2 linked regions of the Lytechinus pictus genome follow. The protein of the gene in region 1 interacts with the protein of each later gene in a pairwise test. Links are inferred from orthologs where the notes say so. Each region holds a gene or a part of one and is shown on either strand. Other genes may lie near its edges. The genes, in order: E3 ubiquitin-protein ligase NEDD4-like and arrestin domain-containing protein 3-like.

The links.
Region 2: the proteins of E3 ubiquitin-protein ligase NEDD4-like (region 1) and arrestin domain-containing protein 3-like interact in binary tests that used the Homo sapiens proteins (3 or more experiments, as listed by UniProt). The link is inferred for Lytechinus pictus from reciprocal best matches to the Homo sapiens genes NEDD4L and ARRDC3.

What each region holds. Positions count from the first base shown.
Region 1 is NC_087249.1:27,695,088-27,711,990, forward strand, and holds the start of E3 ubiquitin-protein ligase NEDD4-like, read left to right. Parts: upstream 1-9,177; 5' UTR 9,178-9,267; coding exon 9,268-9,300; intron 9,301-13,138; coding exon 13,139-13,224; intron 13,225-16,055; coding exon 16,056-16,140; intron 16,141-16,903. Other genes in the region: 5-formyltetrahydrofolate cyclo-ligase-like, read right to left, coding at 1,004-1,233, 1,919-2,177, 5,899-6,009. UniProt on the Homo sapiens protein: E3 ubiquitin-protein ligase that mediates the polyubiquitination of lysine and cysteine residues on target proteins and is thereby implicated in the regulation of various signaling pathways including autophagy, innate immunity or DNA repair.
Region 2 is NC_087249.1:17,117,129-17,133,929, reverse strand, and holds the start of arrestin domain-containing protein 3-like, read right to left. Parts: upstream 8,599-16,801; 5' UTR 7,382-8,598; coding exon 7,232-7,381; intron 6,431-7,231; coding exon 6,322-6,430; intron 5,332-6,321; coding exon 5,253-5,331; intron 3,763-5,252; coding exon 3,615-3,762; intron 1-3,614. Other genes in the region: membrane protein FAM174A-like, read left to right, coding at 13,918-14,243, 15,578-15,707. UniProt on the Homo sapiens protein: Adapter protein that plays a role in regulating cell-surface expression of adrenergic receptors and probably also other G protein-coupled receptors.

The sequences.
Region 1 (16,903 bases):
AATGCACATATCTATGTATGGCCAGTGATGACTTGTAAGTAAATAATTACTGCTGACTGGTCTTGGTTTTAAAAGCATCCCCAAAAAGGGATTTATGCATATCTTAAAAAACAACACCTTTTTTATATGGCATCATCATATTTACTCACACTATATCGCTGTAATAGAATATATCTAATGATGTGACAATACATGCACTTCATTACTTTTCTAAAAAATTAAACTTCAATAAGAAGCAACAAAACAATTAATGAAATGATTGTGGACATGTTCATATTATTCTTAACTTACCAAAAATAGCAGATGATTTTTAAACCGATTGTACCATGCGGAATCATTTGAATAATGCTAAGTACTGCATTTTTGTAATTCTCATAGGCTTTGTACATGAACTACCCAGCCCTAACAGGTTATCAATTAGAATAAGTTTGACATGATTTCAGCTTCTTATATTCCAAGCAAAGAATAATAAGTCAAATCAAGTAGAAATTACTCCCCTAGTACTGAAATGATCTTGATAATAGTAATGATAATCTGCTTGGAGGCAAGAATAGTATTTTTTTTAAATCATGGGTGAGCTTTTAGACATAGTCAATCAAATGTTATCAAAATTACAAAATCTGATAAAAATATAACTGCATGGAACCACATTATTCCTTTGATTACCAGTACTGCAATAATTTGGTGCTTATTTGCAGGGAAGTAGTTAAGGGCGGTACTTTCAAGTCAAGAGGTGGCTGGAGAAAACCACTGTACACACAAGACTTGGGCCAAGGCCAGCAAAATCTGGCCTTGATGCTGCCCTTGACTATATCCCTGCTTATTTTGAATCCATGTCAATCATTCAATTTTATCATCCAGCAACATGACAGAAAGAGATGAAAGAAAAAAATTATCATGTTTCTCTTTCTTCAAATCCTGAGCAACCCCATCGATCTTTCAATTTTCTAATCAAAATACTGTTGAGTTTTAAGAGTATACCTTTGCTTTCTCTAAAGCTTAATCAGTCATCCATGTCTCCATAGAGCACGTAGTCTATTGTGACATCATTGTCTGTGACAGGTATACTCTCGCAGATCTGTTCCTTGAAAGCCAAGGCGATTGTAACCGGTTTGATTCCAGATTCCTCCAAACATCGCTTCTGGTAGATGTCATAGTATCCCTTTCCTCTCCCAAGACGATGACCCTCTTTGCTGAATCCAAGGCCAGGGACAATAATCAAATCCAGACCTCCTAAAAATTAATTAAATTAATCAAAGATTGAACTATTGAAGGCTATTCGTTGGATGTACAGTTCATGTAGTTAACACTTTCTTAGAAATGTAAGACAGGAATTATTAAATTATTATTATTATTCAGTTACATTCTATAATTTTGAAAATAAGGTTTTACTATCCATACAAGATCTTGAGGCTATTCAACATGTTTATTTAGCCAAAAAAAATATAAAACTACAAATTTCTTCACTAACGATCTGGTGGATGATACATGCCACAAAAATGATGCATATTTTCAAGCGAAATTAATAATCAAACTATAAAGAAATGGCGAGATCCTGAAATCTTCAAAATGATAATACCAGATATATGTGTTTGAACAAACATTCGCTTGCCAATCCTGGAAGCCTCTAAAACAGAGACCAAGGGCTATATCCTAACGGGGAATTCCAGAACTTCATAATGTTTTAAAAACATATTTTAACAAAGAATATGGCCACACATAATTCAACGGATATCAGTTTACCTTCCCTATCCTGTCCTGTAAAATCAAGAATTAGAGAAAAAAAATATCACAGGACAGGCAGACAAGCAGACAACAATTATATCAATTTTAACAGGAACAAAATACTATGTGATTTTATGAATTTTTCTGAGGGTAAGGAAGGTTCTTAATTTGTTTTAAAAAGAGATAAACCAACCTGTTTTCAGAGCATCTTCCCTCTCATCATCATCAGCCGGCTGCTTGATCTTCCATTTTGTTTCTGGCAGAGCTTCATAATCCTCCATAGAGGTCATCCTCAGCATATTCATCTTGGGTCCAATGTACTGAGGAATGTAGCAGGATTTATTCTGGGTGAACATGTTCTGAAGGATACCAGTCGTGTCCACTTCTTCTTTCTTCATGGCCAGGTAGACTGATATCCGCTGACTTTTCTGGTAGGCAGGGTGTGACATTAGCTGCATCGAAGATCATAAGTGCAAGATGTATCAACAAAAGTAAAGTTAAATTACAATGTATTCCAGCAGTCAAAATAATAATTTAGTCTGTGGTCAACCACCAGAGTGATTAAAAGTAAATGAGCTCAGCTAGATTATACAGACCCTCTGTAGTATACTAGTATACTCACAATGATGGTGAGTTCATGGCCGAAGTAGGGGGGTTGAAATCTTACATATTTTACTTAGACTTTTCACAAAATTCACCAAAAAAGTGCACAAAATCCTTCAAACGATTTTTTTTTAAGAAAATGCCAAAGTGCCCCCCATGGCAAGCTTGGTCACTCCACATAAGGCCCACTTTCGAAAACTTTTCATATAATTCATTCTCCCTATTGCAAATGAAATCACTCTAAAATGTGTCCTTGCAGTGTTTTGCTCTCATTATTTCATAACATAGGGAAAATAACATGAAAAGTTGTACTTAGATATCAGGTAAAGTACATCTATGTAATCTTATGTATCTAATGTGGTGGGAGGGGGATTTCTTTAAAGAATGTCATTCATTGAGTCAAAAATACATGAATTTCCAAATAGTCTAGATGCTTCTTCTTCTAGTGTGAGTAGTGCTTCATCCAATCGAAACTCCTCAATACATTCTGAGGAGTGCAGGCACAGTGCTGCCTTGAATATGAGGAAAACACTACTACTAGCGACATGGAAATTGAGACTAGGGCTGAGGTTAATGGTGAAAATAGTAAATTATACTTGATTATCATCTAACATTCCAATCGTAAATGTGAAGTGATCACTGAATCTTTCTCTGGGGGTCCAGAACATTCAATGTGCAGTGTTTTAATTTAACTTTTGTCTGACATGGTGTAAAGGCTTGGTCTGATGGTAGATTTAATGGCAGCGGGGGAAGGCATAATATCAAGTTTGGCTAAAAAATCAAGCCCTTAGCATATCCCCTAGATCAACATAATGTCGAGGCAACAAATTGTTGGCACACAAGTTAGGGCACTTTTGCATCTGGCGATGAAATTTCAGTCACATGGAGCATCTTTTTCTTCTTCTTACTACTTAGAATACTTAGGGAATATGCTGAACAAAATCATTTTGACTCTGTATTCAGTTCCAAATTCCTTCTTCTTCTTCTTCTCCTTCTTCTTCCTCTTCTTCCTCAGCTGATCCCGGAGATCTACAGACGCTAACGTTGGCGAAGGACAATAAGAAACAAGATGGCGGCGTAAACATCGAGCAAGTTTCCCCGTCTTTTCATAATATTTTTCTTGTTCTTTTACTGAATTTTTGTTTAAAACTGACTGAAATCGATATCGTAGAAATGTCGGGGATCTTCATGAAAATATACCACATTTACATGATTTAGGGCTAGATCTTTTAGAAAGAAAGTAAAAATCACAGCATGCTCGGGGCGAAAGTTCCTGTTTTTTCGCAGTACACACACATGAATGGGACGCAATCCCTGGCTCCGTGGAGAGTAAGCCTACGTTAGTAAATGATTTTTACTCTCCAGGAACCTCCTGATTGATCTGATGGATCATTGTTTACTTTCAAACTGTCAACATGGATTTTCTCCAAATTGGTCCTGTATGACACAGCTCTTATGTGCAATGGAAGAAATGACACACACACTTAATGCTGGAATTCCTATTGATGTCATTTATTTAGACTTTTGTAAAGCAATTGACTCTGTTCCTCATGAGAGGCTTCTCAAGAAATTAACGTCATATGGTAGTATAGTTGGAAAATTACATGCTTGGATAAGAGCCTTTGTAACAGGAAGGGAACAGAGAGTGACTATCAACGGTGAAAGTTCTGATTGGAGTCAAGTACCTTGGTAAGCAGCGGCATTTCGCAGGGGAGCGTGTTAGGACCCATTCTCTTTGTCATCTTTATAAATGATTTACCTAATATTTTGGACAATTCTGTGTATATTTTTGCCGACGATACCAAAATCATCAATGATGTCAGCTCTGATGTTAAACAAAAGACTCTTCAAGCTGATCTTACTCATGCTGTCGAATGGAGTGAAACCTGGCAACTCAAGTTTTCAAAATGCAAGGTTCTACATATTGGAAAGACCAATTCAAGAAGTGTTTATACTATGAATGGAGATGAATTAGAACCATGTAAGCAGGAGAAAGATCTCAGTTTTATTATGGATGAAGAGCTCAATTTTCGCCAACATGTCTCAGCAGCTGTTTTGAAAGCTAACCAAATACTTCTTCTTCTTCTTCTTCTGGAAACAGTACAGTCCACCGTCTGGTGTATTGTCGTACTGGTGAAGTGCAGCGTGCAAGTGTATGTACATTATTCGATAAAAAATTGCTTACAGCGTGCAAGTAAAAGCAACCACCGTTATTAACGGAGCTGGGTCTTTTGTACCTCTTGTTTAAAGATGTGTAGAGAGGTACAATTAACTGTGCTGTTGGGGAGGGAGTTCCAAAGTCTGGAATAGTACACAGAACCTTTTCTCAAATAACCCCTGAAATATTGTTTGTATCTCTGATTCGACCTCATCTGGAATATGGGAACATTTTATGGCATGTGAGATTTAAAATGGATGCAGACAAAGTAGAGAAGGTGCAAAGGAGAGCTACTCGCATGATTCCTGGTCTCCAGAGCTTACCGTATGAGCAACGTCTAGAGAGACTAAACCTTCACTCACTGTTTTACAGAAGACGAAGAGGAGATGATTACTGTTTACAAACTGTTAAATGGAAAGTTTGGGATCTCGAGTGACACATTCTTCACACCAGTAATCCATTCATCAACTAGAGGTCACAAGTTCAAGCTTTTCACAGGACGATCTCGGCTGGAACTTAGGAGTAAATTTTTTAGTCAAAGAGTAATTTCTGACTGGAACAAAGTGCCGACAGAAGTAGTGGAAGCTAAATCAGTGGAAATGTTTAAACATCTGTTGGATAAATTTTGGTGGGGGGAAAGATTTAAAACCTCCATTTCTCAACGCACGTAAAGTCTCACAAGTTTAAACTGTCTAGATAATGGTCAACCACCGGAAGTAAAGATCGGAAAACCTACAGGAGAAGTCTTTCATTTCCTAGACAGGAATAACCGTCGTTTCTGGGGATTTATCTAACAATTTCTGACATTTTACTAATACTATCATGAGCCATCATAGTTCAGCGGAACAACCAACATTTCAGAGACTGAAGCTTTTGGTCTATTCATTTCCGTACCTGATGTGATGTGATGGTATTGATCGGCCATTTTGTTTTTAATTTTGACAGAAGGAAAACGAACGAGACGGAACTTTTCCTTTTTTAGAGGGTCCAGTTTGTGCCTCGATGTCAAGATAGCTGTGTCATGACACTCATCCTACGAACGATAGCCAATATGATAGACCTTCATCCATATAATCGAGGTAAATGCATAATTTATTTTTCCCCTTTTAATTATTTGAAGTGCTATTCCGACCCCATTTTGGAGAGTATATGTTTGAATAGTATTACACGGACGACTCTCTGGGTTAGGAGAGTCGTTGCACGTTGCCGTTGGAAAATAAATTCAGACAAACATTGACATGATAATAGTCAATACAACATGTATAATGGCATAGACGTGTCTTATATTAATTAAAGTTGACATGAATTGCAGCATCTGGGACCGAAAATTAAAATGCGTCGTCTGCTACAATCTCAGGTAAAATATTTGTCTTTTCCCTACAGAATTGAACATGATTTATCGGTTCACTAACCTTTTTTGTTATGTAAAGAGACTGCCTGACCTTCTCTGGCTCAGAAAGAGCTTTCAGTCTCTTCTTTAGCTCTTGTCGAAGAAGGTTTTTCGCTTGATGGACAGCCTCCATGACTCTAAACCGGATGTAACTCAGAAAAGTGCATGATGGGATCGTTAAAACATGTAGATGGCGCTAGACCAATGTGGTGCGAACTGAATTAACTTTGATAAATAAAAATCTGGGTGCAAATATATATATATTATATATATATATATATATATATATACCTGTTGAAACGTCTGCTACGAACTTGCTCTGCTATATGGCCTGAACAAGCGGGCTTCTCATTTTTACAGAATGTAGGCATATGTCATTCTATAAAGTTTTCTAAAAAACTTCAAATTGAGCTTTGGTGCTAAAGCTTCTCCTTCTCCCTTCACCATGTTCGCAAGCAGGCTCCTGGATTGTGCCGGGCTGAAATCATTCAACAGTATATTATTCCCACTTGACACGTCCATTTTTATTCACAAACTTTAAATGGTAGAAGTTTGACTTTCCTCGCTTTGCGAGAGAAGGGGAAACAAAAATCAGGCTTTTTGCGAAAACACAATGCTATAGCTATAGACCTATTCCTCAAAATAGAATTTTCTTACCTTTTGAATTACAATCACATGAAGGTTGGATTTTTATGAAATATAACTTTACCAACAAAAAATGATGAAGCTTCATTTGGGATATATATATACATATAGCTTTTACACAACAGATTGATTTAACGCAGTTCCGTAACTACCAAATTTTAGGGTGTACACTAAGCACAGGGGCCGCTGAACGGTTTTCAAAGTGGGGGGGCTGACCATGCTAAAAATCACAATCATATGGTCATTTTTACGTTTTTGTACACGGTTCCGCGGCCCCTGATTAGCAAATGTGGGAAAATTTGTAAAAAGTCGCCAGCGAGCCAAGTGATCGAGCCAGAAGAAAATTGGCCTTTTGAAATGAAATTCTAATTATGTGATAGATTTTTACATTAATTTCAGGAAATAACATATCATCATTGTTTTCCATTCATTTCATTTTGTTTTATTGCCTTCTTTACTTTCTTTTATTTCCCCTTGGCTGTTGAACCAAGAACCCCGCATGCAGGAATTAAGAGTCCTTAAAGGGATGGTCCGGGCTGAAAGTATTTATTGCTTAATAAATAGAGTAGAATTCACTGAGCAAAATGCTGGACATTTCATCGAAATCGGATTACAAATAACAAAGTTATTGAATTTTAAAGTTTAGCAATATTTTGTGAAAACAGTCATCATGAGTCACATCCACACTTGTTCTTTTGTATTTTATAATATGAAATTAGGTTTATTCAAATTTTTTCCTCCAAGAACTAGAAAAATTGGATTGACAACTGATTTAGTGCATTAGATATTTATTGCTGCAACTTATTTAATTATCACTCTAAAAAATGTTTACCCAATATTGGGTAAAATGGGAACATGCATGTTGGTTGGGTAAAAAGATACCCAGTATGGTGTCAATTTAACGCAATGTTGCGTTGAAATAGCCCAATATGGGGTAAAAAAAATACCCAGCAAACATGCATGTTCCCTTTCTACCTAATAGTGGGTAAAATTTTACTCAGTGTTTTTAGAGTGATATAAGGGAGACATGTTATTCACACAAGTATGAATTAATGAAAAAATTATGATTTTATGTAATAACATAAGAAAACGGAAAGTGGAGATGTGACATCATCAGCCCACCTAATGAATATTCATGACGACTGTTTTCGCAAAATATTGCTAAAATTTAAACTTCAATAACTTTATTATTTGTTATCCAATTTTGATGAAATTTTCGGCATTTTGCTCAGTAAATTCTACTTTATGTATTAAGATATAAATATTTTCAGCCCGGACCATCCCTTTGATAGAGCCATTTTAAGGTAGATGAACTAGTTTGTACGGTATAACCCTTGCCATGCATGCAGTGTAAAGCTTTATTACGGTAGGGTCATAGGCCCTATCACGTAATAAGGGGATGTGTACGTCTAGCCCTTGGGATTTTTTGTCCTGATTGCGACCTTATTGTATAAAATTTAGCAAGCTAATATAATAATACAATGTTCCTTCACTTCCCGCTTTTTTTTTCTTTTTCAAGATTTTTTTATTTCTCAACTCATTCCATACATAGGTATCACATGCACAGATACAACATAATAAAAAAAAAATAGCACACATTTCAAACAAATTCAAATAAATGGTTCATTTTGTATACAAAATATCTTTTGTTCGATGCACGTTTATCAAATTACGTTTAAAAGCAATAATTCTCTCAGTTGTTTCGATTTTTTTCCAAACCAAGCATAAATTAAATGAGTAAAAGTGGGTTTGATACATGAATAGATGACATATTTTGCAAACAACACAATGATATTGGTATAAGATGAAAGTTATTGAGGGTTATAACTCCAAAAATGTCAATGTCACTGAAATATGTACTTCTAATATGCTTGGCCTTCAACCACTCGTGAACTTCGTACCAAAATGAAATTACATATTCACATCTAAGAAATAGATGAACAATTGTTTGAACGTGGTTTTCACAGAAATTACATAAAGGAGAATCTTTTACTCCAATTTTAAATAAAAAATCTTGTATTGAAATTCTTCTGTAAATAAATTTAAATTGGAAGTTTTTAATTTCCCGATGAAATCCACCAGTTGGGGAGCCCGCCAATTGTGATTTTTTGCATGGTCAGCCCATCCCCCATCCCCCCCCCCCCCCCCACTTTGCTGCCCCCGGGGCTGCCCCGGGCCCCTGATGCGGGCCCTGATGCATGCCCTGCATGCCCGTTGATAGATCCGGTATACGGATCCATATCCGTATGAATCCTATCTGGAGAAGTGAAATTTGTCAATATATACATATTTAATTGGCTTATTAAGACAGTTTTTTGAACAATTGTCCTAGTTGATAAAGTCACTCTTACGTATACATGTGGAAATCTACAAAAGTTTTACAGTTTGTATGAATCATCGTATTTCGTAATAAATTCTTCTCGCCCGGGTTAGCCTTACCTACAGACTGAAAAAGAATGAAGGAAAAACTAGAACTGATATAGGCTTATTCATGCGCTTGTGTAATAATCTTATTTCAGTTATTTAATATTTTAGTCTTATTTTTTTCTCCACGGATTCCACCGGTTTCTTTCTGTCTGGTCAATACCCCCCGCCCCCCCCCTCCAAAAAAAAATAATTCTCGCCCGATATCGTTGAGGGCGCAATTCATCGAGTTATTTATAGAATCGACGAAGGCGAGGGTGGGAACGGAAAAGTTTATTGTCAAAAATATTGACAACATACTTACCAGAAATACTATTTGTACATGGCAACAATATATGGTCTCCCCGAAATGCAGGTGAGTTCACGATGTACTGAATAAGTTGATTGATATGACTTTTTGTAGTAAAATTCAAATTTTTTTATGAGTCCTCGCCAGAAATTCCGGTAGGCCTACTCTCGTCGATTATGCTTCCCTGCCGCTGCCCCCGCCGTACCGCTCACGGGTTTAACTGCCGACCGCTCTGGCTGATATTCATGCCAAAACTGGTGTAACGTTAGGCCTAACTTTAGTTAGAGTAGACTACGCCGTGTACACTGTAGGCCCTGCGTGGAATGTTGCAGGATCAGTGTGGATGTGCATGGTATGGTGAAGATCATTTAGCAGGGTTTGCCGGCCATTCCGTGCGTTTGGGAACTGGTCAACAAATCGAATTTATATTATAAAAAATTATTTCACCACGATATGTAAAGAAACTTTGGCGATTTTGAAAGTAATTGATGCGAAAGGCTTTGTAGTTTGTTTACGATGTGAAGCTCCTCACACAACTGGTTCCCTCTTTCCTCATGCAATATTTATGATCGGGCTCAGATTGCCATGGGTGGACAAGTTTCAAGACCACTCTGCCACTTTCACAATGTTGACCAAAAAATTATTACAAAATCGATTCATTAAATAAATCACAAGATATACCGGTAGGCTATATATTATGGGGATGAATCACTTTAAACTCTGTATAATCATATTGAATGAATTTCTGATCGCGTTAAGAGGGGGCATCTGTGTCCTTTGGACACGTCAAATTTCTAGTCCTTCCTAAATCTCTTATAGATTTTATGTTAGATAATTCTTGATAAACCTCCATATTTTTTTTTTCAATTTAGTGGAGGCTGGAGGGGACATATGAAACTGGAAGTCTTGCCCAATAGTCTAAGGGTTAAAGTGAAAAAGGGCAGCAGTTTCAGAACTTCTAGATCTAGATCCAATTGATTTTTGTTAGGCTTAGACTAGACTTTAACTTTATCTAGATCTAGGCCTAGATCTACATGTAGTTTAGACTGAGGCTGAGACCACTCAAGGTTCCAACTCAGGTGTCGTGCACAGGAAAGTGCAAGGCATAACACCCGTGAAACTTCCATGGAATATTTTATTATGTAGACATTAGTCAGATTAGACATCCCTAGTGAAATAATTTTTTGCTATGCCGCCCTCTATATGCATCTTGTAGCTTAGTTACTAACAGAGATAAGATGTGAAAAAATTCCCATTTCTACCACATATATACTGTAGTTTAAAGTCGAGTAGGGGGTGCTTGATATAAAATCATTTTCATTAAAATGAAACATGATCACAGAAACTATTCAATATATTATTTATTTCTTCATTACTTCCACTAATCTTGAATCTATAATTTGTTCTTTCTGTCTGTTTTTCCTTTTTTTTTTCTCTAGATCTATTCCCTTTTTTCTTTTCTTTTTTGTTTGTTTAAGGCCTATCTTTTTATTCTTTTGCATTTATTTTTATTTTCATTTTCTCTTTTATTTTGAGGGCTTTTTATTCTACTTTCTCTTCTCAATAGTTTTTTCTCTTCTATATATCCGTTTTTTTCTTTGTTATTGTTCTCCTTATTCTTTCGTTTCTTCTTTTCATCTGTTTCAATTGTTTTTTTTTTTCTCTTTCTCTATTTTTTTTTTTTTAGATCTCCTTGCTGTAGAAGTTTATTTTGAAGACAAAGAATTGACTGTTTTTATTTCCTTTGACTTTACGATTTGTTTTTTCTCACCACTTTATTTGCCTCCTTTATCTATCTCATGCTTAACATTAATATCTGATTACTTCTCATTCCTTTTACATCACCATCCCTTCATCTCCTGCTTTGCATTCCTTACACAATAGGCCTACTATTTGCAATGATCTTTTGTCCCTTCATGTTCATTTCATGGTTCAGTTAGCCTGCAGTTACTGTCTTTGCTGTTATGCTGAACACAAGCGATACGTCTGATGTGGCAAAGACTACAAACTATGGATGCAAAGCATCCACCGCCTATAGACACCCGTCTTGATTTGGATTTTGTTTTTTAATATTGACAATGAAATAACGCTGGTTTTTCGTACGAAAAATTCTCATGCATATGTTAAGCCATGATGTCACTTTCTTCATCCAAAATGGCGAGTACGAGTACACGTGAAAAACTTCTATGAGAAAGTTTGGATTATGGAGCTGACAAATTTGGCATGCCTAGTTAAAGTAGTTATTGATGACGGGAGGATATATTTGTCGCTTTACCAACAGGATATAGAAAAAGCGCTATCTACCAGGCAATCCCTCTGTGTTATGATTATCTTCGCAATCACGTCTTTTATGATGGAGATGTCTTAATTGTTGACACATGACCAGGAATACAGGTACCGGTTCCGGTACCACAACATGTCAAATGACAAGATCATGGGAAGTACGAATTAATAATCGTTAATTTGACAACGTCATGTCTCTCAAATATACTTGAAGACTATAGTTTAGCAAAATATTTAATCTTTTATTTTAATGGTTGTTAAAAAAAATATAAAACATTGTTTTGCAGACGTTGAGTTTATGTATCCCTATCTCCTGATTTGTTTTACCCCCATTAAGTAATGGACGAGCAGAATCTTTTTCTTTGCAACTTCATGTATCTGATGGTTGAACGTAACTTTGGTAAGCCATATTAGGCGTGGTTGTGGAATTATCCATAAATTCGTCATTTTGAATAAACTTGAATATTTGTTAGGGTGTCTATAGGCAGTGGATGCTTCGCATCCACAATTCGTAGTCTTTGCCACATCAGACATATCGCTTGCGTTCAGCAGATTAGCAAAGACAATAACTGCAGCCTCCGCTTTAGATTATAGGCTATGGTTCAGTTGATTTACATTGAAAGGTTTAGCCTATATGATTATTTAGTGAAACTTACCCTTATTCATAGAAACTCATTTAAATTTGTTGTAAACTCATTTATTTTCATATAATTTCTTTTATATGCAAACTTTCTTATTTGAATATTTAATATTTACAAATTATTGTTAAACAAAGAAATAAGCCCGCAGATTGAGATATTAAGTACACCTCCGCCAGGCAGATTATCACAGGCAAGCAAAGAGTGAACATTTGTATATTATTTAACTCTGTAGGGACATACCACACCTAGGTGACCACATAACAACTACCCTGCCCACAACCTTTACAAGCAAAAAAATCACTCTTGGACTCCACCTTGATGCAGCCAGGGGGGGGGGGGGGGACAACATTTTTAATACACTTTTCTATTGTCTCCTTTAAACAAAAATGCTGGGGGATGCTGGATCTACCACTGGAGGATACCATAACACATTGTCAGAACAGATGATCCATGCATCACTGAATAGAATTTTACTGGGTCTTTTTTTTTGCATGCAGTGAGTTCCAGTAATGAAACTAGGAAAACTCTCAATTATGATAATGTAGATCAAGGAATTGTGATAGGACTCTGAGCAGCTAGCAAGTAAAAGTTGTTGTAAAATCTTACCTTTTTTTTAGGCAAAGATGGCAAGGAGTCAAGACTACATTTTTTTTTAATGAGATAAGCTTCATTCACAAAATTGGTACATTTTAACATTTAATATTAGGCGTACTACTCCTCAAGTATTCTAGTTCTAGGGAATTGTAAGTTTCTGTTGGACCTTATCATGCATACCTTTTTCATGGGGTAGTCCCGGACATGTGATGCTTGTGATGAAGAGAGTCAAAGAGAATAAAATTAGGTTGCATTATTGAGGGGACAATTGGGGTTTGTCCTTACATCCTCTTTGAATCAGAAAAATAATAGATTTTGATTTGGTTGTGTGTTCCATGACACATTGCTCATCTCTATTTTGTTTTGTGTTTGTCTTTTTTATACAGGGGGAGGCCCCTGGAACTACCCGGATCTTGAAAGTGAGAGTTATAGAAGGAAAAGACCTGGCTAAGAAGGATATATTTGGTGCAAGGTATGTTTGAATAGATTCTCATCATGCATCACGTTCCTAGGAATCCTCCAAGTACTGTTGATTAGTTAGTGGTACATGTAGATGTGTATGGTTTATGAAATAAAACATGATTTAAAATATTGTAAGCCAGTCCAGGATGGGAATGAAATATGAATGCCAGTTATACTTACATTTGTAATATTAACCCATCTGTTTATGTGGTGAGTGCTGAGAAGCATTCATCGTAAGTTATTTTAAATTTGTGAATCATCTGTGTGTGTGTGTGTGTGTGTATAATGTGCTCTAAAGAAAACTCACAAATACTATTGGTATTATACACATAATACTGTATATTATACATGTACATGTATGTACATACTACATAAATACATGGATTGTTCTAACATTTTGATGCCTCAACAAGAAATGATCTAATTTGCTCTTATATATTAAAGTATAATAGGCTACCAACATGTACATGAATGTTCAGAAGCAAAGATCTTTGTGCATGAAATCTTTAATGAATGTCCATATGTTTCAAGAGTGTGGTAGAAAAAGAAATTGACAATGTTACCAGTGTTAATTTGAAAAAACTAAAATTTCTCCTGATGGATTTGACAAAAATACAGCTCTAGCTGAAATTGAGAGATGAGAGTTTGAGAGGGAGAGATTGAAACTAGGTGAAGGTCTGTGAAGATAGAGACTATTCTTTGACTGATCAATAATTTGTGAAGTCTCAGTGAATTCGAATTGGTAGGCCTGCCTGGCTGGGTTTGAGGAGAGAGAGTATCGCTGTTGTGACTTTTTTTTTTTTTATCACCTTTATTCAAAACAAAGCAAATGGAAATTACAAACAACGAAAATAAGTCCAGGTTACTCGGTTTTTTAGGACGAAGTACAGGTCTAATATAAGAATTACAATACAGATACACAATATATAACATATCACAATCAAATTTACATAAAACGATTATACATTGGTGATTGCAGAAAAGAAAATTGAAATAGATCAAGCACACACCCTTACAACTGAAATGAAGAGAGGATAGAGGGGAGATAGAAAGAGTGAACTTGATGAAGAGAGATAGGAGGAAGAAAAAGTGTGACGAGTGAAAAGAAGGGGAAACAGGATAAAAGGATAAGACAGAGAAGGAGAAAGAAGAAAAAGAGGAATATTTGAAGCCAAAACAACAACCTATATGCTGTTAGAAGTAAGAACGCTTATAAAGAATAATGCATTTTCATCGCTTAAACTGGGAATGCAACCCAAATAAAAACTTGTTTTTAGAGGAAAAGGAAAAATCAGACAAGTTGATAGGTGAAAGTTTGAACAATATTGGACGAATAATAAGGAAGTTATGAATTTTTAAAAGTTGTAAAAATTGGTTAATCACTATACCCATGGAGACTACAAATAAGCCAGTCTGTAGTTCCACTCTGCGCATGATCAGAAGATTCTGCGCATGATCAGAGGAAGGTCATTTGTACTAAAGTGACATGGTGGTTTAAAATTAGTGAGATAAGCACCAACTTCGATGTCTTGATTATTCATATATTCTTTTGAATTGTGTTTTTCATTCACATCCACAAAAAAAACAATGCATCCATGAATGACTGGTATATTTAACAGTTTGCCAAGTACATTTACATCCTCTAATAGCATTCAAAGTAGAAATGCAACAACTACCTTCAAGTGTTCATTGATGTGCTATTCTAGTCATCTGGTCTATTCAATTTCGTCATCCCGCTATGTAAGGCATGCATACGTAATATCTTGCTTTGAAATCTGCCTATCTTAATGAAAGAAATGAAAGGTCATTTGACCAAAATTGTCCATGAAGTAACTGCGAACTGGTCTATTTGCTGCATATGTGATGTAAAGGCCAAGGACTACTCTTCCATGTACTCCCATACATAAAATGGGTAAAATGTAATTTTTTCAAAAGTTTTACTTCAAATTATATTTTTCTTTCATGAGGACATAAAAAAATATAGGCCTACTATCTTGATAATATTTAGATTACTGCCCCAGGGTAAGGGGTACTTGGTAGAAAGCCACAAATCCCTGATAATTAAGTAAATGGCCTATGAGAAAGTTGGCCTTGCCCCTTGTCATACCCAGTTGCCAATTTTAAATCTACGTCTAGTCTAGGAAACCAAAACCCAAGAAGAGGAGAAATCATATTAGAGTAAAATGAGATGAACAATTAAAAAAAAGTTTCATCAAAATCGGTTATGAAATAAGCAAGTTATTTTAAATGTTTTAAGTTTTAAAGTTCCTAAAGTGTCACACCATGCCTCCCAAGAAGAGAACACAAAAGGAGAAGGGGACAGGAGAGGGGAGAAGAACACCAAGTCTACGGCCACTGTACACTCGACGTACAGCTGCTGTAGACCATGGCTACGGCTAGTCTAATTTCTATCAAGCGTAGAAATGAAAAAAATAACTATAATTCCGCGCAATAATGCTTCAGCCACCCCTATGGCCTGTAAAAATAGGAATCCGCCCTACATTGACCCTGCAGGCGTTGCAGATATTTACAGCCACCGTACACCCATCGTAGAGCTATAAATTTGACTGATTTTTATATCAGAGTACTGTTGGAATTGAAAATTCTGACATTTTAGGTCAAAAGGCGTTAAAACTCTTAATAAGTTGGTTAGGACTCCAATCTAATGCAAACTATGTACAATTTTGTGATCCCTTCCCTGGTTTAATATTCAAAATACTGTACAAATATAATGCCATGTGATATATTTTTTTTAATCTGTGAAATATCAAATTTGTATTTAAAAAGAAGACAAAAATACTGTATATCTTACAATATTATTTATGATTTATTCCTATGTAGTGATCCATATGTGAGGATAAAGCTTTTCAGAGGAGATAGGGAAGAAGGAGTTATATCAAGTGTTCAAACAAGGACAATTAAGAGGGTAAGTTAAAAGTAGAGGATTTCCTTTAATATTAAATCCACTGTGATGTGTCTCAAATGTGGGATGAAATAGCACTCGTACTGGCAAATAAATGGAAAATGAAATGAGAACTGTTTCCAGCATTAGTGTCATTGCAAGTATCCTGGTCGCCTCGCTATGTTCACAAGTGGAAATATGGTATGTTTTGCATTTAAAATTTCCAGACATGGAAAATACTTACAGGATCTGAAAGAAAATACCGGTAAATGCCAGGTACAGAAACAGTGAGATTGGTGTAAAGAGGAAGTACTTAATAATTTTCTTTACCATGTATCGTATCAAGTTTACTGTTCTTACAAACCATAGGGATTTGAAAAAAATGATGCTAAATTACATGAAACTCACTTCAAAGGTATTTAAGTGTTGTGGTGATGTACATTAAAATGAGAGTGATTGTTTATGGGTCTTGAAGCTGTAATGGTCTCGGTTTTGTCGGCATATTTTCAGAAAATATTCCAGGTAGAAATACATGTAAATGTAGGTTATACTTTCAATGGTGTAGAAAAAAAACAGGTGGATGTGTTGTACCATTTCAAAGATTTTGTCTTTCATTCTAAAACTTAGATATATGTTGTTTGAAAGTATTGCTCTATATTAAAAATATGTTTGTCCAGGATGATATTTTAGATTGAAGAGATACCTTTTAGCATTATAATTTCATTGTTAAAGGACAAGTCTACAGTACCCCAACAAAATGTTGATGTGAATAAAAAGATAAAAATCC
Region 2 (16,801 bases), about 11 Mb from region 1:
CTTTTCACAAGTTGGTATTTTCGTGAATATTAATTTTTACTTACTGAATGTCTTGGTCATGTTTGTGAGGGACAAAATTTGCCGACAGTAAACATTTTGCATGCCTACAGTACAGGTTTTCGACAAATAAGTTGGGGTACCGTTGAATTTCACCTGGAGCAAATATCTCCACTTCGGAGCATATTTAGCTAGAGCCATTTTGACGCTAAGAATGGGGTATATCTAAGTTTTTTTGTACTGTCATAATTATTACATGAGCACGCTTTTTTTTTTTTATTTAATCATCAGTCACATAATAACACTTACACAAAATGCCATCCCCATGAATAGGAATTAAGAATATATATCCCTCCTTTGTGCTTATCCCTCTTATTCTATTTCTTTCTATGTTATGTATCAGGGGCCGCGGAACTTTTTTGTCCAAAACCGTGTACAAAAACATAAAAATTATCATATGATTGTGATTTTTAGCATGGTCAGCCCCCCATTTTGTAAACCATTCCGCGGCCCCTGTGTATGTCATGCAAGCATAGTTTAAAATTATTTTGCAATATATTATAATATACAAATTTGTAAATTGACGTCTTCAGCCTGTGCTACAATTGTTATGCGCATGAAAGTACGAATAAATAAATAATCGTCGCATTATCGGAGCAATGTACGGCGGAGCCATTTTCGGCGGAGCAGATGTCGGCGGAGCAAATATTGATTTTGGCGGAGCAATTTTCGGCGGAGCAGATGTCGGTGGAGCAAATATCGGCGGAGCAATTGTCGTATAATCGGAGCAGATGTCGGCGGAGCAATTTTCGGCGGAGCAGATGTGGGCGGAGCAGATGTCGGCGGAGCAAATATCGGTGGAGCAGGTGTCGACAGAGCAACTGTCGGCGGAGCAACTGTCCGGAGCAATTGTCGGCGGAGCAGTTGTCGTATTTTGCGTAGCAATTGTCGGCAGAGCAGATGTCGGCGGAGCAATTGTCGGGTCACCCATAATGTGATAAGTGATACTTGTTCAATCAAATTTCTCCCTTTTTTTTTGGGGGGGGGGGTGGGATAGATGATAATTACATGTACTGTATATTGGATGAATTTATTTCATTAAATACCAGAAATATTCCACTCGTTAGGGCCAATATTCCATTCATCTGCGATTCGTGGAATATTTGCTCAAACTCTTTGGTAGCGGTATTCCATTCTGAGCCATCCAATAAAAACATCTATGGAAAATATATGGTTTATAGGCCTACTGAAATCAATTAAACAGATGAGAGCAACAAAGTGAATGTTCATAATAAATACATTTATGTTCATGTTTGTACCCCCCTAACACAAAAACAATAAATATTAGACCACACCATATGGGAGCTTAATAGGAAAACTTGAAAAATTGAATAATTTCATTTCAATTGGATGTTCTGATAAAATGGAAAAGAAATCAGTCTAATGAAGACATGAGACATTCTAACAAATGGGCCGAGGGTGATTTAGCCGTTGAAATTTAAAAAAAAGCCCATTAAAGGTTAAAATAATCACTCTCCAAACTTCATATAATATTGGTTTAATTACAGTTACTTTGAAAGGGGAAGGAAAATAGTCTGTACAGAACAGAAATAAGAATTAATTATTATTTTGTCACCTGCATTCTTCAGACTTGAATAATAGTGCAATAGTAAACATACATGTAGTGTAGCCTAGTGCAACATATCTACATGTAATTTACTTCCAATACACATGTATTTAAATAAATCACACATTGAAAGTCTGCTGAAAGTTATCTATAAAACGCCTACAGAGTTAATTTCCTTTGATCAATATATACACATTAGTCACCAACATGCTTATAAAGACAAAATTTAATTTTCAATCGGCACAAATGCTTAAAATCGGGTTCCAGAGATGAACAAATATTTGAATAAATACATGTACCTTTCTTTTGAAATCAGTAACTATTCAATAGCCTTATAATCCAGCCTGTGTTTAATTTATATTACATTACATTTCCATTTGATTGTTCATTTTCTTTAAACATTAAAATATTAAAGGATATCTTTAGGTTTGGTAAATTCCCCAAAGTGAATGTAACTATTCCATTTCATTACTATATTATATCAATGCTAATGCATGAGCCCAAAAACGGTTGTGGTGTGAGGGATATTATCTAAAATTATGTTTTATTGGATAAATTTACAGAGTTTAGATCAAATTTTAATCCAAACCCTAACTGCTGGAGAAAAAAAAATATATATTTTTATTTATAATTGGTTTTTAAAAATGTAAGAATGCATTCAATGACTTGAACACCTTTGTATTTATAATGTTCAATGATACTAGAGTAGAGTTCACATTACTGACCATTTACCAAAGGTAAAGACAGGCTTTAAATCATCAGAATATCACTTCCCTGTACATGTACAAGTACAAATAAAAAGTACCAGTATGAAGTTTTCATTAACAATGATTATCATTACAAGTTTATTCTAAACCGATAAAATGAACCAAAGTTCCTGACTTAAATCTACACATTTACAGGCATGCCGTTATTAAAGTCAAGCAAGAAAATAGAGAAAACTTGCAAGTTGCAAGGCAATCTTATTTCTAAAGTCCAAATTGGATGAATGAAACATAATGTAAGAATTATTTGGCTTTTAAACTCGTTGTCAACGTCCTTGACACTGTGAATTTCTACATTTCAGTTTTTTGTGCGACCAGCAGCAGCAGAAGTAGGGCATCGATGGACCGACCAGTGCAGCTAAGGCAATCTTATTTCTTTTGATTTATGTTCTCTGTACGTGGTTCATCTATTTCACCAAATATGTGCATGCGAGTGAATCGATATTCAGTTTTTGATCACTTTCTAATCTGGTATTTGATCTCAGGTCAAAGAGGAGATTTTGTTCTTCCAATCTTCCTCTTAACCCAATAAAAAGACTGGGCTATTTGAGATGTATTTAGCAATGCCCCCCTGCATTAACTACAAGCCCCCCCAAAAAAAATCCATTAATTATTTATGAATAAAATATGTAAACTCATTCGTCTAAAATATTATTTGAATATCTACATCTAACATCCAATTTTACTTAAGATTTTCACTTTTTTTCCCTGATGTCATCTTTGTAATATTATTTGAATTGGATTTAAAGACAAATTAAAACAGAATAACAGATACATGTACCCCAAACCTTTTTAACAGGTTAATGTCAAATTTGAAAAAAAAGAAAACATATTTGAGGACCTTCTATTGAAAGAGTTTTCTTTATCTGGCACACTGTAAAATGAATCAACAAAAGTATTATGATGGGGGGGGGGGGAAGTGAAATAGGTGGCGGTCAATGGGGGGGAGGAAGCACAAACATACCTGAGGGGTGGGCAGGGTGCAGAGTTCCCCCCCCCCCCCCCCGACAGAATTTTGATGAACTTCAATAGTTTTCAGAAAATTTTGTCAGTGCTGGAAAATGCTTCAGAAAATGGGGAGTAACCTTTGACCTCCTTCTTTTCTTTGTGCCCCCCCCCCCCTCCCACCCACCCTGACAAAGAAATATATTTACAGGGACGCCACTGCTGGAGGAGGGGGAAGGAGTGGCTCCCCTAACAAAATATACACAAGTGTTGACACTCACCAAAAGTTGAGGTGTATTGATATCGATGTGATCAATGACGGTGAATGCTCTCTTGGTTTTGCTATTGAAGCCCCATGGTTTATCAATCTCAGCCTTTAGCCAGTAGCGTATCCTGCCATACTTTCCTTCAAACGATGTGGCAACTCTCCTGTTAATACACACAAAGAAATAAAGAGAATAACACAAATTCGCTCATGAATTTGAATTACGGATTTCAAGCACTCTTTATTTACACACAAAGAAATGGCATACATGATATAACACTCACTCATAAAATTGAATGTGTGTTCAAGCCTCAAAGGAGAAAAGTTAATTACTTCTCCCAAGAACCCAATAACTAAAATTGCTTTGAGGAGCTGTGCATGGTAATAACTTGAAATTGGAACACAGAAAGGTTTTTTTTTGCTTTTTGTTATTGGTTTTTGCTGTTGGCGTTACAAGGACTAACCCAAGATCCCAACAACTAAAATTGGTTTGAGGAACTGCACAAGGTAGCAACTTGAAATTGGAACACAGAAAGGGTATTTTTCTTTTGCTGTTACAAGGACTATAAACCAAGAACCCAATAACTCAAGGCCTGGTCCCACTGGCCGACGGACACAATACGTATTCATAACGGATACAGTGGACAAGCAAAATTTCGGGGTGGCTCCATCCGCTCCAGACAATGGACAAAATGGGCGAACAATGAAATCACAGTGGACGGATGCTCGATGGATATACATGTAGAGCGTATGAAACACCTATGCAAAGAGTACACAACGGATACAGAACGTTTTCCAACGGATGATAAGATTACTTCCTGTTTTACATCTTCTCTGCATCCATAAGTGCAGTGGGACCAAGCCTTGAAGATTGATTTTAGGAACAGCAGATGGTAACAACTTAAAATTGAAACACTTGAAGGGTTTTTTGTTGTTGCTGTTACAAGGACTAACTCATGAAAATTCTTGCACCAATAATTCCGCATCTTGCTAAATGAAGATGTTAATTAATACTCCAATATTTGACTTTGTTCCCTTTGATCTGCAGAACCGAAAATCCAACAGCAAACCTACAGGAAACATAAACCCTTATGCCTTATCCTTATCCTTAAAGGGATGAATTATCTTTGCTGGAAGTAGACCGATAACAGACAAAATGGAAGTCTGGTGACAAATAATTGAAATTCCCATACATCGTGCATGAGGGCACCCTGCGGGAAAACTGCATGGGTGGCATATGATCGACAAAATAAGCCTTGCTTAATTAGGGTAAAGGTACAATCTTTAGGATCAAGAACCACAGACTGTGACTTTTGCTTCAAATCATTATCATTTGTGAAAAGATAATTTCTTGCCCTATAAAGCATATCGGTCCCTGAGCCTGAAATGCAAATAAACTACAGCAGAGTGTCCAATGTGATATGCCCCGTTTTAAAAGAAATAGTCATGCTAGTCATGTAACATACCATACTTACCAGGAAAAAATTCCAAAGCTACTTTTTTAGTTCAAGAGCCCAATTGTGCTACAGTGTATTACAGTTTATATTGCACACCATGGAAATTTCAGGGGCTCTTTTTCCAGGACTATGTAGGGCACTTTGTGGCGGGGGATCTGCCCCAAGCTCAACATGTATTTTCTCTCCATGGTACTTACCCATATGGGATTTGAAAGCTAAATCTCAGTTCATGATGGCCTGCTCTCAGAACGGGATTACTTCCACCTTCATCTTCATCTAAACAGAAAACCAAAGCAAAGGTATAGTTTAAAGACAAAGAGCTCTGGTGTAATGGCATTTAAAAGGTGTTTGCAAACTTTGTCATTTGTCACAAGTCAATATTTCCCATAAGGGGGCTCTGCTACTTTGAACAATGTACATATGTAGAAGGCAAAAGTACTATTAGACTCATAAGGTAGCTAGCAGTCTCCACTTTTCACAAAGTTGCAGCACTTGCTAAGGGCCCTGTTCACATCTGCCCATACACGTACCTGTGTGGAAGCAGCCTATCACAAATTTCTCATGTGTGTACACTCATTGAGGTACTAAGATTGACTTTAATAGATTCTTTTAAAAAATATATATATATCTTCCATATTCATTCTAAAAAACCTAAAATGTTCTAATTTTCTAACAATATCCTTATTTAGCACAGCGCTGTACATGTACAACTAAAAAGAACACATGCTCATGCTGTATGAATATTTTGGTATCACTATTCATTCATTTCAGAGTTACAGAGTCAACACCTTCAGTCCTTCAGTCTAATGCCATTCCGTCCATCAATCTTTCGTCTAACAACTTGGTCCAATAACCATTTGATTCAACCATCACTTTGTATACTCACCAGTACATCTTATAACCTGTTGGTCTAATATCCATTTTATTTTCATTCAGTTTGCCCAATTTTAGAACATAGTCCAATTAGACCAAATGGTATATGGACTAGATGGCTTTTTTATACCAACTGGTTATTGGACGAAATGGTGAGTGCACGAAGTGGCAATTAGACCATGTGGATGGCTGACGAACTGATGGTAGACCAAATAATAGTAGACGAGTTGGGAATTGGACAAATTGGCATTAGACCAATTGAAAATTAACCGTCGGAGGGTAGGATGATGCACAGACTAGATCTATGGCTAATACACTTTTGTTTTGCTAATGTGTGAACTTTCCCTTAGAGCAACTGCAGAAGGAGCAAATATGCTGGAACCGTTTAATCACCTTTTCCGAATAAGACTTGTTTCATGTAGAAGTACTCCTCCTCTGCATCATAATATTTGGTGTAGGATCCTGTTTGGTGGCCTCCTCCTCTTGATTCACTCCAATGTACCTACAATAAAGACAATTAAATGGGGGAAAACAATAAAATAAAGTAAGACTTAACGAAAAAGAAGAACATGTATAGTAATCCACTAAGATGGCATTGGCAAATCACATAATCTATGCTTTAGTTGAAGAGGCTTCTCATACAGCCTATCAATTTGTACCAGAACGTATAAAATTATTACTTTGGCCAAACAACCTTGCACTTGAAGGGTATACCTATCATGTATGATGTTTAATCATTTTAAATGGTGACCTCATCATTATTACCATGATTATTACACCTTAGATAACATTTATGCTCAACATTACAAAGAATTGCAAACATGACAATTTTAAGGTACTAAATAAAGAGTTCATGAAGGAGGCCTTTTACATGATTATAGAAAATCTATGTTTGCCTATCTATCTGTTTTATGTACAAGTACACTGTACTGGAGGCCTACATGTACATGTATGTTTGATGACTGTCTAAAAGGCATGGATGGAAATTTTAGTTGCATGATTTGCATCCATTTAGCCAGCATTTTTATATACAAATTCCTATTATCAATCCATGGACAAATTTAGGTAACAAATTTTTCAGGAATCCATCAAGACAAATGATTAATGACCCATAACTACCCTGGAAAAGCCCCTAAGAGTTTCAGGGTAGGGTCTATCAAATTGGTGAAACTACTTCAATAAAATAATATTATCATGTTCAAAATGCTAAGCTCCACTGAGACATCCAGCCCTGGACAGCACAGCCAGCCAGTTATCTACCAACCTCTACTTCTGAAGTAAAAGCAGGTCTCAGATTTTTTACCTTGGCAAGTCCACGCATGTAGATGCGGATACCTCGCATTTTCATGTCCCCTCGAAGGTCGACAGCAACATGTCCCGAGACAAACTCTCCTGCCGAATACACATTCTTGTTGTTGTCGAGCACAATGTGGAAATCCTTCAGTTTCACCATATTGCATAATTACACAAAGGAGCCGCAAACACACAAGTCCTGGTCCTCTTTAATAAGCACGTCTTATCCTTTAATCTGCTTGTTTGGGGACGGTGGGTGGTGCCTAGTCTACAATGCATCAAATATCTTAAAAATGCCATTCAAATGTCTCAAATCATTTCAGGTACATTTTTTGTGGCGACACCGGTCACTGCGATACATGTAAGCTGCATTAGATTCCACAAATAAATCCTCACACCACTCCTGGTCATAAATGTAGTCTTTGTACATGTAACCTGCTCGGTCTCATTCTAAATTTGTTTAGAAGATCACTCACAAATTGTTGTTCACAAGATGAAGTCTAAACATGATGAGGAATGACCAATATAAATTTTAAATTTCAGCTGTCACTGTTTAAATTGTGGAATTGCACCATGGTGTCAAGGCCCCCAATTCAATAGACCAAACATTAATAACATGCCCAATATACTTTATTAAGTTAAACTAAAAAGTATCTAACACCACATTATCCTTCAGTCTCAGACCCTATAACTTGTAAGTTAGACATTCACAGCCAGGCAGGCACAAGCTAAAACTAAAATATAAAGTCAAAACAAAATGGAAAGAATTTTTAATTTCTTGGCAACTATGAACTAATAAATCTTGGATTTGCAAATCTGAGATTTTTTATGAACACAGGCACAGCTCAGGTAGCTTAGTCTTAGATCTTGATCTAACTTAGATCCTATTCCTAGCTGTTTTTAGTTTGGTTTATTTTCTTGACTCCAGCAATGCTTTGTTGACATAATTTACATTTCACTTATTGTTGTTGAGCTATGCTGTCACTGTCTCCTGGCTGTGCGCTGTCATTCAGCTTTGTGATTGATGATCTTGGTGCTGATTGCGGGCTGGGCACTGCACTGTAGTGTAGTGTACCGTAGCTGTGCCACAGGCACAGTGCAGTGACAGACGTCTGACTCTGCGACTGCGGGTTATGCCTGGCTAGACTCGGGACTCGGACAAATTTACGTGCTTTTCCCAGGTTTATACATCTGCTCCAACCAGTGAATTCACTTAATATCAAAATTCAATCAAAATTCGGGCTGGCTGCTTCCGTTTCCAGATTCAAAGAAGATCCTTTGATGAGTTGGGCGTCCTTTTTTCTTTTCTCAGGGACTCAGCTGATTATTTTGATATTTACCATTACGAACAGTAGATGGCGCTAGTATTTGTACTATAAATTTTGTAAGAGAATTTGTTCAGTAATCCCGGTATTTCATGTGTGATGCTTTTCCCCGGTGTTTTTCATGTTAATTTTGTAATGATTCCCAGGAATGATTTTGAAATGTGTTTGTAGTCTCGTGGATAATGATGTATTTATTTGTTTTTATACATGCACAAGATCTTTATTTAAATGATTCGTGATTGCAATCTGCCATTTGAAGAGGAAGAAAGTCAAACATTAAGACTAAATAAAATTGTTGATTTTTTGTTTTAAAAAACCTGTTGTTTCATATCATTCTTATGATAATTTTGCTGTATGTCTGAAAAGATGGAGCAATAACATTAAAAATTGTAGAGCGGCATCAGCCATTATGCTCTCGAAAATGAAGGCCGGTATCGTACATTTTTTTATAATGTGTGCGTCCCATAAAAAAAAAACGTGAATCGAGAACTATCGATGATTTATATAATCACAAAGTCAATACAATTGGCCTTTAAAGATTATAACATCCTCCTCTTTCATCTGGTATAAATCCTCTTCACGAATGAGTGATCAAATTACCAAAAACTCACTTGGCGGGTGGTATCTGAGTTTCCAAAACAAATCATATCGTGTTTTAAAGTTAAATATCTGCTTTTTTATTTGATATCTAAGTTTACCGGGAAGTTTACTAGAAATTTCAAATGGGCCAGGCAGAAATAAAGTTCTATTCATTATAAAATAAAAAGGTTTAGAGCAGGGATTCTCAAATGGTGGCGCGCGCGCCACTTGTGGCGCACCGAGCCTTGCGGGGTGGCGCTTGGGAGCTGGTATTTAAAACAAGTAAAAATAAGGAAACATTGGGGAGAAAAAATGTATCTACCAGTAATTACCTGGAAATAAGGATTTGGTGATCATTTTAATACAAAGAAAAAACAAAAACTCTTTACTTGACACTTAATTGCTAATTTATTTCCTCATTTTTTCCCAATTTAGCACTCGATAACCCCCATTATAGAGGATCGATGGTGTTCTCCCTTTTATTCATTCTATGCTGTACAAAGTTTATGTGCCACACAAGTGATTTGAAAACCCCGTTTGTAGGATTTCTATTTCAACGGCGAGAAATTTTGCATTTCCAGCTAGAGTATACGTTTTGGTTAAGAGTTAAACATCAAATAATGTGATATTCAAAGAACATCCTGATCATAAAAAAATTATGAATTTGAGACATAACAAGCAGAAACTTTGTTTCCGGAGCCGATTAAAATCTGAAGTTGTAAAAGTGAAATACTATGCTCAGATGTATTGCCTGCCGAGCTTGCCTGCATGCACATGGATGATACTGCACGTGAGTTGTAAAGAGAAAGGGGCAGTTTGGAGCGCTAGTGCAGTGCAACGCCTAATTTTCAGCCCTTGCAAATCGGGGTATGTAACTTCAGCCACTGGCGTACAGATGGGGGTGGGGATTGGGGGGCCAAATGTTTCACGGCCGAGATTTTAAAAAAAAAAGGAGAAAAGGAAAGGGAAAGAGTGGAATATTGTATTATTATCTTAATATTATGTCAAAATATAGATTTTTATATTGAAAAGTTCAATATTTTTGCTTCAGCTGCCATATCTAGCCCCCTCATTTTTTTATTCATTACGCCACTTGCTTCAGCCAATAGATCTGGTGCAGAACAGTCTGAACTAGTGGTATAATATTGTATGTTGTGAAAAAGTCACTGGTCATTTTTCTTTTAATATTAATATTGTACAGTTTGTTGGCATTTGTATTTCTTCTGTTGATATTAATTAGAGCCCCTCTGGCCAATTTAAAAGGCCTCATATTCCAAAACTTCTGGGGGCTCTGCCCCCTCGACCCCCACCAGGGGCCTCTGGACCCCCTCCGCTGATACATTGCTGGTTTGCGTAATGGATAGTGGAGCATTACAGATTCTCGACAAGAAATGTGGCGCTTCCAAAAAAAGTAATTGAGAAAGGCTGGTTTAGAGGATAGCTGTTAGACTTAAAAGATTTCCGATCGCACTTCGCGATTGCAATAAGTTGATGAGTGATCGAGATACCTGCCCTATAGCTTTCTTCATCAGGGTCCTGTTGCACACTGTCAGGAAGGGAGGGGCTTTGGGCGAGCCCACGCCCCCCCCCCCCCCCAAAAAAAAAAAAATGAATAAATAAATTTAAAAAAATAATAATAATAAATAAATATGAATAAAAAATAAATCACGACCAAGGGAAAAAAAGAGAAAAGTAAAGGGATAACTGTGAAATGTGATATTATTTTCTGAATGTTATGTCAAAATCTATTACAAACTTGGATTCTTGAGATGAAAATGTCGAAACGTGTTTTTACACTCGCAACTTTTATTAATTTTACGTGATAGGTCAAATCAAGCCCCTCCAAATTTTTGGTTAATAAACGCCACTGCCTATGCTGCCCGTTGCATGAAAGTTACCATTATGGTAACATACTTTCCATCCAATTAACTACCATGGTAACAAGTCTCAACAGCCAATCAGAATCAAGGATTCAAGTCAACAGAACCCGTATTTATCAAGTATTTACCTCCCTCTACACTCGTTATAATATTGTTTGGTTAGTTTCACATCTACTTCACCATAGGCGCTTAGAATGTTCTGTCTTCGGGTGTAAATTACAAAAAAAAACTTCAGACACGGCGATCACATGAACTATTAATGATTATGACCTTAATTTGTTTTGCAAAAATAAAGCTAAATATCTTTAGGCCTATACAATTTCAGTGTTTAGGACTACCCGAACTCCAAGGCCTAGCTCCCCCCCCCCCCCCTTATTGGAAATAAAAACCCTGCATGGATCTGCCCCTATCGTTTCTCACTCCTTTCACGAGATCATGCCCAGTGGACTGGTAAAATGGGGGCACAGGACCAAAATCCAATTGAAGCCAGTTGTGTGTATTTGAGTTTTGTCAGACGTGTATCAATCAGATATGATTATTTACGTCTGGGACCGACCTTTAACGTCACCATCCGAAAGACGTGACCAGGGCTCGAACCTCTGCATCAATTTGTAACTTCCCCACAGCTTGGATTACAGGCGCACGCCACAACGCCCAGTTTGATTTCAAACTGGTTTTAATTGGTTTAATTTAACTGGAATATAACAGTTTCCAATTGAAACCAATTTGAACCAGGCAACTGGAAATTCTAACTGGAACCAGTTGAGTATAGCTGGAAATGTCTTCCAACTGCATGGAAATGACTTCTTACTGGAACCAGCATGACCAGTTGGGTAACTGGAAATCCTAACAGGTACCAGTTATGTACATGTAACTGGAAATCCTAATATCATATTTATATTCGAAGCTCCTCAATATAAATGTATATGTGAAAGCCTAAATTTTAATAATGCCCTTTATCATTGGTATCAAATTGGATCCAGCTAGATGAAACCAATCGGGTTTTTGCCTCCAATTGGAATTGACTGGTTTTAATAGGGAAATTTGAACAACTGGAACCAATTGATATGCAAATGCCTAATTGGTTTCGACTGAAACCAATTGAAACCAATAGCCAACTGGTTCCAGTTGCCTTAACTGGAATCAATTGGCAACTGGTTTCAATTGGAACCAGTTGTTCCAATTTCCCTATTGAAACCAGTTGGCCAACTGGTTTCAACTGGATTTGCTCTAATAGACCAGTTCGTAGTTACATCAGGGACAATTTTGGTCAAATGACCTTTCATTTATTTCATTATGATAGGCAGATTTCAAAGCAGGATATAACATATGCATGCCTTACATAGCAGGATGAAGAAATTGAATTATACCAGGTGACTAGAATAGCACACCATTGAAGACTCCATGAAGGTATTTGTTGCATTTCTACTTTGAATGCATATTATAGCATGTTGTACAATGTACTTGGCAAACTGCAGTGAATATATGCTAGCATATTATGTTTATTATGTTATGAAAAATGTATTATACGAATGTTATGGATGCAGAAGAAAACAATAAATCAAAATCAAATACCAGTCGTGGACGCATTTTTGTTCTTTGTGGATGCAAATGAAAAACACAATTGAAAAGAATATATGAATAATCAAGACACCAAAGCTGGTGCTTATCTCATTAAATTTTAAGGCCACCATGCCACTTTAGTACAAATGACCTTTCTCTGATCATGCGCAGAATGGAACTACGAACTGGCTTATTGGTTTCAACTAGATTTTGGACCGGCCGGGGGGGGGGGGGGTGAGCTGCGTTTGGCAAAATTCATAGAAAGTTGCCGCGAGTAAAAGTTTTGACATTTTTATTACAAATTTTGTGATAGATTTTGACATTATTTTTAGAAAGCAATATATTTCACCCTTCTCTCTTTCCAGTTTCTTTCCTTTTCTCTCTCTTTTTTTTGGGGGGTGGGCAAGTGCCCCCTATCTGTACGCCAGTGATCATACCGATAAGGTTAGTAAGATCGTGTTCTATCGAAACTTAATTGGTACTCCAGGCAGAACCACTGAACAGCTAAACTCACACAAATAAAACATTGAAACTTATATCAAAATCGGATAAGGAACAAGTTGTGAATTTTAATTACAGGCGGTGAAAAGTAAGTTCTATGCACGTCTTCATGAATATGCAACAGGGTTGGCGATTTTTTTTTTTTCATTATTTTTTGGAAAAAAATCGGATTTATTTGATTTAAATCAGATTTTTTTTTTATTCGGATTTTTTTTATTTTCTTTATTAAAAAAAAAAAGAAATTCTAAAACAAAGTGGAAACATAAAAAATGTAACACATACACTGAAATCATTTTCAAAATCATATATTTCACAACTCTAATTATTATTAGCTTCTATTTTCATAATCAAATCCAATCAAAATAATTATGAAATTATATTTATTAGAATTTTGTCCTCCAACAATGAAAAGAATGGATTGAGTATAATTTTATTAATCATTGGTGCAACTTGTTTTGCTACCCGGGGAAGCTTACACACATGCATGAATAGATCTATATGAGATGATTATGAATTCATGAAATATCATATGAAAAATGAAGGTGGAGAGTGGGGACATATCATCATCAGCCCATCTATTAATGATTGCTTGAAGGTGCAGTTTAAAATTCAATAACAAAGGGTGAAATAAAATAAAAAAATCGAAATAAAAACCAATATCACAATTATTTAGAATCGGAGAGTGTTGGCGCCCCCTGCGTTCATTAGTGATCATATGACGTGGATCTCTGCGATACTAAAAGTGAAAAATCTAGCTAAACCATCGGATTTTGTACAATATTGAGCTGAAAATGGGAATCAAATTTATTTCAGTTGATTCCCTAAGGATGCTATTTTTCTTCAACGCAATGTTTTCGAAACTTAATAGTTCCCTGCATTATTTCCTGATTGGGTTTCTTGGATGGCAGCTGGACTTGGCATTAGCAGCGGATCCTGATCCCGTCGGCGACGGGCAACCTCCGGCTGGCAAGACAACTCCTACGGCTACGCCACATTCACCGGGCTCTAACCTCGGCACTTCCAAAATACCGACCGCAAACACAACTTCGTCACATGATGGAAAATTCGATTTTGGCGATGTTTTGTATGACAAAAGCATGCTGAGAAGGAGTTTCTTTGTGCTGATTGGATTTACGTTATTAGCTATGGTGTTTTTTGCTGTCAGATGGTTCAGGTAAGAAATAATAATAAAAAAAATAAATAAATAATGAAAAAAAAACATGATTGATCTGTTTTCTAAGTTCGAATCAGATGAAAAGGGCTCAAATTATAAAACACATTTAGCTGGTTCCAAGAACATGAAGAAGGGAAACTATAAAGGAAGATCAAGGCCTTAAAATGTACCAGTTAGCCATAACCTTGTTCATTGAACTGCTTAACTGTTGAATGAATGCAGTTAGCTAGTCTTGACTTGAGGACTCCATGATGATGTTTTTTTTTCATATTTTGACATATATTACTTCATCATGGAGTCTTGAATCCCCGTCCATACATGTATATCTATAAGAGACACATGTACACAAAGATGGATTTCCTTCAGAGGGTGAAATCGGTTTGTATTGTCAAATTTTATTTATCTATGAACCTTCAGGCGCCTAATGCGTATAAAGGGATAAAAATTATTTCACTATAAATGGTAAAAATGAGACGTTTCTTACAGACCCGATCTCCCGTGGATCCCTCGATCCGTTTGTCAACAAAGCAAAGACCATAGACCTGACCCTTGAATCGCTTCGTGATGACCTATGACATACATCCGGTTAGTGGTTAGCTAAAAGTTATTACGTAATTATAAATAATTAGTATAATACTGCTAAATATTTATAATCACGTAATAAATTTTAGTATTTGTGAAATAATAATTTTTATCTATAAATTGTTCTTCAAAACGGCTTTGCTTACTGGATGTACGTCATACATAAGCGGTTCAAGGATCGACCCTATTGTATTTGCGTTGTGTACATTTTGATCGAGGGATCTACAAGACATCGGTCTGGTAAGAAACCTTCATTTTGTAACATTTCAATTGACCATTTTTAAAATCTTCCTATGCATTAGGCGTAGGAAGGTGTAGAGATTAATAAAATCACAACAATTTACGTGATTTTTATATCAAAAGCTGGATTTCCTAGGGAAATCCATCTTTGTTTAAAAGTGTCTCTTATACATATATGAAGGGCGGTTCAAGACTCCAATGATGAAGAAGTTTAGTCAAAGTATTTAAAAAAGACATCATCATGGAGTCCTCAAGACTACTGTTTCACAGCCTTCCAACTATGGTACATGTAACTACATGTATAGATACATTCATGGTAACTTAAAATGAGGAAACCTTTATTTTGAGGCTACATGTATGTTGAGGCCGAGCCATTGTAGACTTAAAGTTGCCAGAATGGCAAAGTTACCTTGGTTAATTCAGAACGGGCTTCTTGTCTTGAAGGAATCTTCACTTTAATTAAAAGAAATTCAGATACATATGTCACACTCTCTTTATTTGTGTTTTCACAGGTCAAGAGGAAAGAGAAAGTCCAAGAAATATGGGGTACTGGCAACACGTTCATCAGACATGGAATTACGACCACTCGACCAGGATGATGATGAAGAAGACATGACAGTGTTTGACGTCAACTCAAAATAGTAATAATTTATTTACACACCACAAACACTTTAACCTATCCAAGCATTAAAAAAAAAGAAATACATGTAATTTGCCTTGAAGTAAACAAGATGCATGAAGCACATTCCCTAACATATTTGTATGTACTAATGCATTCTTTGTTACTTATTGATATGCCAAGATGGACTTGCATGTACATGTATGTAAGATGTAAATGTATCAATTTAGGGGAATTTTGATAGGGGAAGGTTTATTTGTTAACCCTGGGTATTGAATACCATTTGTTGTGTCAAATTTTCATAGTATATTTATTGTGATTGGCAGAATGCCAAATACAGCCTCCCCCCCCCCCTCCTCCCAGTCATCTCTCAAAAAGCAAAGGTGCTTATATAACTACTTATATGTTTAAAGATCTTTATTATTATAAGATGTCATTTGAAAAGGAAGTTTTAAAAAATTGATGTACTGAATTTCTGCACCATGTGACTTTTAATTATTATGGGGTCATATTGGATCAAGTATCATTCTGAGAGACTTGATCTTGCATGTGCATTACCCATGATTCCCTTGATCTCCCTGGCCCCTTGCTGTGGAAGAAAACTTGCAGCTAGGAGTAAAATATACACCTTGCAGTCTAGTCACTTAAAAGGGGAAATTTCATGCTTTTTTGCAGCCAGGGGAGTATTCAATCCAATCCAACATTGGGAATTTAATTATTTCTATGAAAGAAGCAAATGGTAAAAACAGAAGTCAAGAGGTGGAAAGAAATTGGACAAGGAATATGAAAGTCAATGCTGATTGAAAAGTAAGATCACTATAAAGACAATGTAAATACATGTACAATGTATGTCAAATTAGCAATTTGGTGAGAAGATAATAGGTGGTAAAAATAACTTTCTCTGTAAGGCACCCTTCCTGCTGTCCTGCATATATTAGATAGTATATTTATAGGTCCTCTCTCAAGAAATATCATTCACATAAATTTTAGAAGCAAATTCCCATGTGTTTTCATGGGGAATTTTACACTATTGGGATCTAAATCACTCGGAGTAGAACAAGATTTATTACCAGCAGACGTTGTGTAATGCTACTGGAAAATGCCTTCAAAGTTGGCT